2 linked regions of the Rhinolophus ferrumequinum genome follow. The protein of the gene in region 1 binds, or shares a complex with, the protein of each later gene. Links are inferred from orthologs where the notes say so. Each region holds a gene or a part of one and is shown on either strand. Other genes may lie near its edges. The genes, in order: cytochrome b-245 heavy chain and RAC2.

Region 1 (3,918 bases):
AATTTCTTCTTTTACCTCTCTAGGGAATAACCCTTGTGCAATTAGTCAACTTTGATCTCATAGTGGGGTTGCCATCCTGCTCTCCTGTCCCTTTCATGTCCTGACGACTGACTAGTAGTCAGGGAAAAAAATGCTAAATCTGGCTTTTGGCATCTACCACACCTGACCTACCTTTGTTCTGACCCTGTTTCTGACCTTTGTTCCTAGCCTAGAGAATGCCATGTCTGCCTGGGAATGCTATAGTCATCCCAACATTTTAGTATATTGTTATATTTTTATTTCCTATACATATGGAGCCTTTGGAGTGATTTTGGATGGGGTGGGCACACTCAGGCTTTTTTGTTTCTGGTATCATGGTTAAAAGTATAGCCAAACTGCTTGGGTTTCAAATCCCAGCTCCACTATTTCCTAACTGCGTGACCTTGGCCAAGTACCTTAACTGCTCTGGGTCTCAGTTTCCTCATCTGTAAATGTAGTCATAATAATAGAACCTATGTTATACAGGTTGAATTGTTAGAATCAAATGAATTACATATACTGAATTTGTATATGTGTGTGTCATTGTGTGTACACACACGCATATATTTATCAACTCATATGCACATATATTTGTGTGTGCATATATATGTATACGTGTGTATGTACATACATACATACGTAGCTTAGAAAATTAGCACAACATAGACATTCTATAAATATTAACCATCACCATTGTTATTATTTTTCTCAACAAGGCTGAAAAAGCTGCTCTAGCCTATCAAAAAATATCACACCTACTTAATGTTTTTCACCCAGCATAAAGTCTTGTCTAGTTGGGTGACTTTTAAAAAATTTCTAGTTGATAAGTTAATTCACTTTATATTAATGTAATAAAATATGCTAATAAAAAAGACTGAGAACACATTTAAAAAGAAAGGATAACCACAACTTCAAGAAAACTTTAATTCACTGTGTAAAATACATCCCATGAATTACACTGTTACTTGTCACTCAGTTGTAAAAATTAGTTTCATTCATTTTTCACTATGTTCGGTTGTGATTGGATCATTACAGACCCTTTCTCTGTAGTTTGTGGTTTAAAGATTGAAATTTTTTATGAATATAAGCTTTTCAGTTGACCAATGATTAGAAATTTCCTGATAGTAGAAAAGGAAACAGATTGCCCCAAGGCGCTATTTTCATTTCCTCATGGGAGGAAGAAGCATAGCAGAGAAGAAAGGCAGACACAAGACACTGTACCTCTGCCACCATGGGGAACTGGGCTGTGAATGAGGGACTCTCCATCTTTGTCATTGTAAGTACCAATGAGAGATACATTATGAATCCTCTGACTTGTCTGGGTTCTTTTGGGAACTAAAATAGAAAAAAACTTTTTTGTTTGTTTGTTTTGTTTATTTGACAAATTGTGTTGAAACTGATTTACTGTGTGAACATGCATGCATTTGTAAGCAGACTGAGTCCATTCTTTCAAAGTTAGTATTGGAAAGAATGTAACTGGGGGCTCACTTCACCTAGTTTATTTTTTGAGTTTTTAGGAGTACTAAATTAGCCAGCATTTCACAGAGGGAGTAGAAGACATTTCATGATAATGATTCCTGAGTCTGAGTTGTTTATTAATATTTGCTCTGAGACAAATTTCTACTTTTTGTGTGTTTATACCACTTTAAAAATGGGCAATCAAAATTTTATGCCATTTTCCAAGGAATAAGTACAAGACTGGTTCATGTGCGGGAAATTGGCCTTTATTTCAGTAATTACACCAAAAATAATTGAACTTCTCAACTGTGGTTTTTTTTTTTTAAGTATCTTCTTTTCTCTGAGGTAATTTGAGTTATTTGTAAAGTTTATAAAAAAATCAAGGGAAGGGAATTGAAATTAGATATCTAGACTCATATACAGTATATATATTATATGTGATTATATATATAAATCAATATAATATATCTTGAGAAATAATTTTTGTAAGTAAAGATATGGCTAATTTTCAAATAAACACATTAGTTTATTTAGTTTTTAACATAACAAATATCAACTATTATTTTATGATGGTGGTCTCAGCAAAGCAATCATGGATAATTGGGAAGATAGAAATGTGATTTATAACTATCCTTTTCAAATATCCAATGAAAGCATTATACAGAGGTTAAACAGAACTCTTATAAAAGGAACTTTTGAAAGAATTAATCATGAAGTAAATATTCAGTCTTTGAGTTTTCGAGATACAGAGAAATTAGTGGCACAAACATAATTAAAGCAACAAATATTTTGTCATGTAAAAAAATTATGCCAAAGCAACATTTAAATGCAATATAGAATTCTTCTGAGGAGTCAGAACTATTAACTTGATTTCTTATCACCATTTGAAGAACAGATAACTCCTGTAGAAAACAAGTTCAAATTATACTTTTAGATCCTACCACAATTTTCCCCAGGAAATGACCTTCTAATTACATACTCATATATTCAATTCAAAATGAAGGCACCACTTGAAAAGCAAGAGTAAAAAAGACAAGATTAGGAAACAGACAAGTTGTTTTAGTGCCTTCTTTTTAAAGAGAGACTGTTCTCAAGTGTCTATGGACATTTAGTGCTTCAACACATAGTTAAGAAAAAAGATCACTATGGAGCTGAACGTAGAGGACTGGGCAGTATCATCGATTGATGCAGTCAGTGCTTCAGATGAAACAAGCAATTAAAAAAAATCCTATGACTTTCACCCCCTCATTCATGCTCAATATCCCCTCCTTCAAAAGTTAAGCAAAAGTTATCAAATACAATTAAAGGCTTGACTGTTTAGCTGATGAGACCCCCACTAGCTGGGTGGGATGCTGTGTGTGTGGTGGAGGAAGTTTATCGGCACCTGTGAGAGTAGAACACAGTGTCCTACTGGAGCAAGGGACAACATAGCAACGTGTTCCATTCCCTTGTCTTTTTAGAAAGAGTCACCTACTATCGTCTCTCTATCTAAGGTTAGAAAGAAAAGAGGAGGAGAAAGAAAGGAGGGAAATTAGACTGATAATAACTCAGCATACTGACCAACTGGTAAAACAATAATGGGGAACAACATGGGGTGGAAAGGTTAATAACAAGGAAATATAACAATGCTGCCTGGGAAAGAGCTGGCTCTAAAATGGTTATAACCAGTTTTGTAAGCACCCGTATCAAAGGCTGGAGTTGGGAAACTCCTGACCCTGGTCTGACACCAACATTGTGTGAAATGTACCTGTTTAAATGTGAAAACTTCATGCAACTGTTTCTCTTTGTGCAGCTGGTATGGCTGGGGTTGAACGTCTTCCTCTTTGTCTGGTACTACAAGGTTTATGATGATCCACCGAAATTCTTTTACACTCGAAAACTTCTTGGGGTAAGTATAAGTTCCATGTCATGCAATATTGACTAGCTCACATTTTTTAATCAAAAATTCACGTTCATATTCCTTTTAACATTTTCAATAAATATTCTGACCAACCTGAACAGCACCATCAGCCTCACTCCCTCCATTACAACCCCTTGGGGAGGAGTCTTTAGGCTTTCCAGTGTGGGACAAACAAAAGTGTGGCAGAGGGTCACAGCAACATCCCTCTCTTCCCAAAAACCACTGGAGAAACGTTTAGCTTAGAGGAGGCATCTAATAATAGCTCTGGAATGGAAGACTAGGTTGAAGAGATCCATCCAGGGGTAACACAGGTGGGACAAGTGGGACTTTCCATATTCTGTAAATCATCTGATTCCTACCACTTTTGTGCATGGAGAGCCCCGCTCCTAGTGACATGTTATGAAATGATCTTCAGGAAATTCCAGTTTCATTGAACTGCCAGGTCTCTTCTTCTTCATTACAGATGAAAATAATTTCATCTGTCCCTTGAAGATATTGTTTACTACCTCATGCTGAAACCGTGAATTCATTACTGAATAAAT
Region 2 (3,918 bases), on another chromosome or scaffold:
TGCGGCCCTCTTGAAGGCCACCTGCTCCCCTTCGGCACCACCCCACCCTGACACGTTCTCTCTCCGTTCTGGGAGCCCGCAGCCCTCACCCTGACATCTCATCTTGGCCTGCCTCCTCAGCCAGACCATCAGGCAGCTCTGCCAGGCAGACCGGCGGGGGCATCTCCTCGTTGCCCGATCCCCACGTGCCCACACACAGCCTGGCACACAGGAAGTGCCTGAAAAGGGGGTGGGCTTGATGATGCATGTCTCCCCATCCTCCGAGCACCCCACCTGCCCACGGTACTCACACAGTGGGGATGTACTCTCCCGGGAAGGCGTTGGTGGTGTAGCTGATGAGCAGGCAGGTCTTGCCCACGGCTCTGAAAGACAAGACATTCCGAAGGACAGCTGTCACAGGCCCTGGCCGAGATGCGGGGAGGTTTCAGAGCACGTGCCCCATTCTCTAACCCAGCCCTCAGGGAAGACCCAGGCCCACCCCTTTGGCCTCAGTTTCCCCATCTGAAGATCCCCAGGTCAGCGTTTTCAAACCTGAGGGCCATAGAGTCATTTGGAGTGCTTGTTAAAGGGCAGGCTTAAGGTTCTACCCCAGAGATGCTGATCCATGGGTGTGGGGCGAACTGGAAATCCATTTTGAAAGAACTTTCCCAGGTGCCACTGATGTGGGACAGAGGGTAAAGGGCAGTCGGTACCCAGGAGACCTACTGGGTTGGCCAATGCTGCAGGGCCCCTGGTGCCTGAGCGGGGCTCTGCCACCATAGGCCTAGGCTTCAGACACCAGATCCACCTGCCAGTGACACGATTTGGAGCAAATCAGGTAACTTCCCTTTGCCTCAATTTCCCCATCTAGAAGATAGGTATAAGGTGAGTCCATCCCCAGAGAGGTGTACTGAGAAGTAAATTAGATGAAGTCCATAAAAGAACTGGGCACAGCATAGCCGCCAGCCGATGTCAGGGAAAGCCTGTCCCTCCTCTACCATCCTGCCTCACCAGAGAGCATCTCAGTTAAGAGCTTGGAGCTCTGGAGTCCGAGAGACCAGGGTTCAAAGCCCATAAGGTCTTGGGTAAATTACTTAACTGCTTCGAGCTTCAGTTTTCCCACCTGTAAAATGGTCCTAGTATTAATTGGTAGGAGGATAAAATAGAGAGGATGACTAAGCCCATTGCCTGACACATATTAAGTGTTAAATAAATTGTGATCACCTGCTGTTCGTGCTGTCTTCCCCTCAGCCTGCTGGGCTGGGACGGGGCCCAGGTGGAGGCCAAAGGGGCAGCCGTGGCCCTCCCCGCTTGCTCCACTGTTTCGTCATTTCCCGTTCTGAGGAGTTGGCCTGCCTCTCATCCCCACCCTGCCCTCCCCAGGGCCTGCCACCAAGGTAACTTTGAATGACTAGAACGTTGTTCTTGGCTTCCGCCCTCCCCAACTCAGATCAGATACAAAGCAGAAGTGGGCAGGCAGGCAGATAACAGCCAGCCATGCATCAGAATCAGCTGAGAGCGGCCTGATCAGCCGGCCCACCCCCACCGACCCATGAGAGCCAAAGTAAGCAGGGGCCACAGGGACCCAGGCCAGGAAAGATCTGAGTCTCTTGAGGCCTCAGGCTACCCATCTATAGAACAGGAAAGGTGGACAAGAGGCCTGCCCAGCTAGAACATGCTGGGATGTCCTGGGTTGTGCCTATGGAAAATCCCAGGACAGACCCGTGGGCTGGACCCTGAGGTATTGTTCCTGGGAGGCACGAGAGATTGGCATTTAGACCAGTTATCTCACAGATGAGGAAACTGAGGCCTCCAGGGTGACAGGGTAACCTGAGGTCACTAAATCTGACAGCTGAGAAGGTGTCTCAGCCCAGCCGGTCCCATGTTGACCCCCACAGCCACCCTCATCTCTCCGTCCCTCCTCCTTCCCTCTCTCTCTCTCCTCTTCTCTACTTCTGCTCCTCGCTCACACCCCCACACATCCTCCCCAACCAGGCAGCTGTGAGGGGGAGGGGAGAGGACGCGGACATTTATTGAGCTCACACTATGTGCAGGACAGCCACTCAAAACGCCTGAAGTGACCCCACATCAACCCTGAGGACGTGCGCCTTTTCCCAGATGGCCAAGCTGAGGTTCAGAGATGTGCTGTGACTTGCCCAAGGCCACACAGCAGAATAAGCCAGTGACTAGAGTCCAGGTCAGCCTGGGGACGAAGGGCAGATTTTTGGCTCCCTACCCCCCACCTGCATCCACAGAGTTGAAGACTGAGGTCCTATGGGAGACCTGCCCCAGCTCTCAGAGTGCCGGTGAGGGACCCCAGGCATCGCCACCCACCGTCCTGTACCCTCCACCCAGGAAGTTTCCAGGGTGAGGTGGGCAGAGAGAGTGAAGCTGTCCTCAGCCCACCCGGGGGCTCCCTCTGCTTCCTGGGAGAAGGGGCGGTTCCTCCTGGCTGCCTCCCAGGGACTCCTGCGGGGCAGGGGGCTTCCCCAGGGACGCCAGGGCTCCTGGTAGGGGGCTGTGAGCAAGTTCAGCCAGGTACCTACCCATCTCCCACCACCACACACTTGATGGCCTGCATCGTGTCTGGGGCCTGGGGAGCGGCGGCGGTGACAGCTCAGGGTGTGGAGCGTTTCTGCGGGTACCAGGGGTGTGGAGAGCCTGGTGAGGGACCCAGAGCCCAGCAGCAGGGGACAGGAGGCAGGAGGAAGCGGAAGCGGAACTTGCCTAAACTGCTGCCCTCACAGCCGTTTGCAGAAGGCGGAGCATGCGGTCTGGCAGACCAGCAGGGGGGTGGGGGGGGGGCCTCAGGTACTAGGCTGGGTCCTGGCAGCCCCAGTGAGCATCCCTGCTATGGGGCACCAGCTGGTGACCTAGGGACCCTCTCAGCTGTGGACTCGCTTCCATGGGCAGGGCCAGAGTTGTTCTCCAAGAACTTGAGGTTTCCAAGAATTCAGTTCACCTCAATTCTAAGCAATAAGCATTTAGTAAGCATCTACTGTGTGCCAGCCACAGTAGCAGGTACTGGGGAGTCCAGGATGCAAGAGGAATAGCTTGTCCCTGGGGAAGATACGACCTCATCACAGTTGTCCATAAAACAAGACAGAAAGTGATGGAGTCACAGGGAATCTGCAGGGAGGAGACCTAGAGTTACGTAGAGGGAGAGCTGGGGCCTGTACGGTGGCACTCAAGCCGGCACTTAAATGTGTCAGAGCGGGCGCACTCCAGGTGAGCGGACTGCGCGAGCACGATATAGACATTCCTCCAAACGGGGTAGAGTGGGAACCCCTGAGGGTGGAAGGATGACAGATATGGGAGGAGGGAGATGAGGAAGGAAGGAAGACGAGGCTCAGCTGATGGAGAAGGGGAAATAGAAGGGAAGTGACGGGCAGTGCCCCACGCCAGCCAGGCCCTGGGCTGGAGGGACAGTCCTGTGGGACCAGGCACTCTGGAACTCGGAACCATGGCCCATATTGAAGATGCAGAAACAGAGGGTCTGAGAAGTCAGGTGACTCCAAACTCTCCTGGCGCCCCAGCTGCTGTCTGGGGGAACAATGGCTGAGTCCTGCAGCTCTTGGATGGAGTGCTCCCCCTAAGCCATGGAAGACTCAGATCTGAGTAGTACTGGGACTCCCCAATGGACTCCAAGTTCACTTAGTCCTTACTATAATATTTATTGCCACAGCTCCCCACACAAAGCACCTTCCCGCTCCAGGCACAAGATAGGCAGAGCCACTGGTCATCCAGCCTGGACTCACTCAGGACAAACCAGGAAACTGGGGGAGAGTGTGGAGCTGACGGAGGCGGGGGTTCTGCTGGGCGACAGCTTCCCTCCTACTCCCTGTGAGGACAGAGCCTAGGATTCCCCCAGGCACCCAGAGGCTGAACCCTTCCAGAACTGTCCACACAAGCTACAGGGTTGGCACACATGGCTTTTGC

The links.
Region 2: cytochrome b-245 heavy chain (region 1) and RAC2 share a complex: the UniProt entries of both Homo sapiens proteins name them as parts of the phagocyte NADPH oxidase complex. The link is inferred for Rhinolophus ferrumequinum from reciprocal best matches to the Homo sapiens genes CYBB and RAC2.

The regions. Positions count from the first base shown.
Region 1 is NC_046284.1:95,746,902-95,750,819, reverse strand, and holds the start of cytochrome b-245 heavy chain, read left to right. Parts: upstream 1-1,148; 5' UTR 1,149-1,249; coding exon 1,250-1,294; intron 1,295-3,268; coding exon 3,269-3,364; intron 3,365-3,918. UniProt on the Homo sapiens protein: Catalytic subunit of the phagocyte NADPH oxidase complex that mediates the transfer of electrons from cytosolic NADPH to O2 to produce the superoxide anion (O2(-)).
Region 2 is NC_046293.1:9,575,206-9,579,123, reverse strand, and holds the start of RAC2 (ras-related C3 botulinum toxin substrate 2), read right to left. Parts: upstream 2,697-3,918; 5' UTR 2,561-2,696; coding exon 2,526-2,560; intron 363-2,525; coding exon 291-362; intron 1-290. UniProt on the Homo sapiens protein: Plasma membrane-associated small GTPase which cycles between an active GTP-bound and inactive GDP-bound state.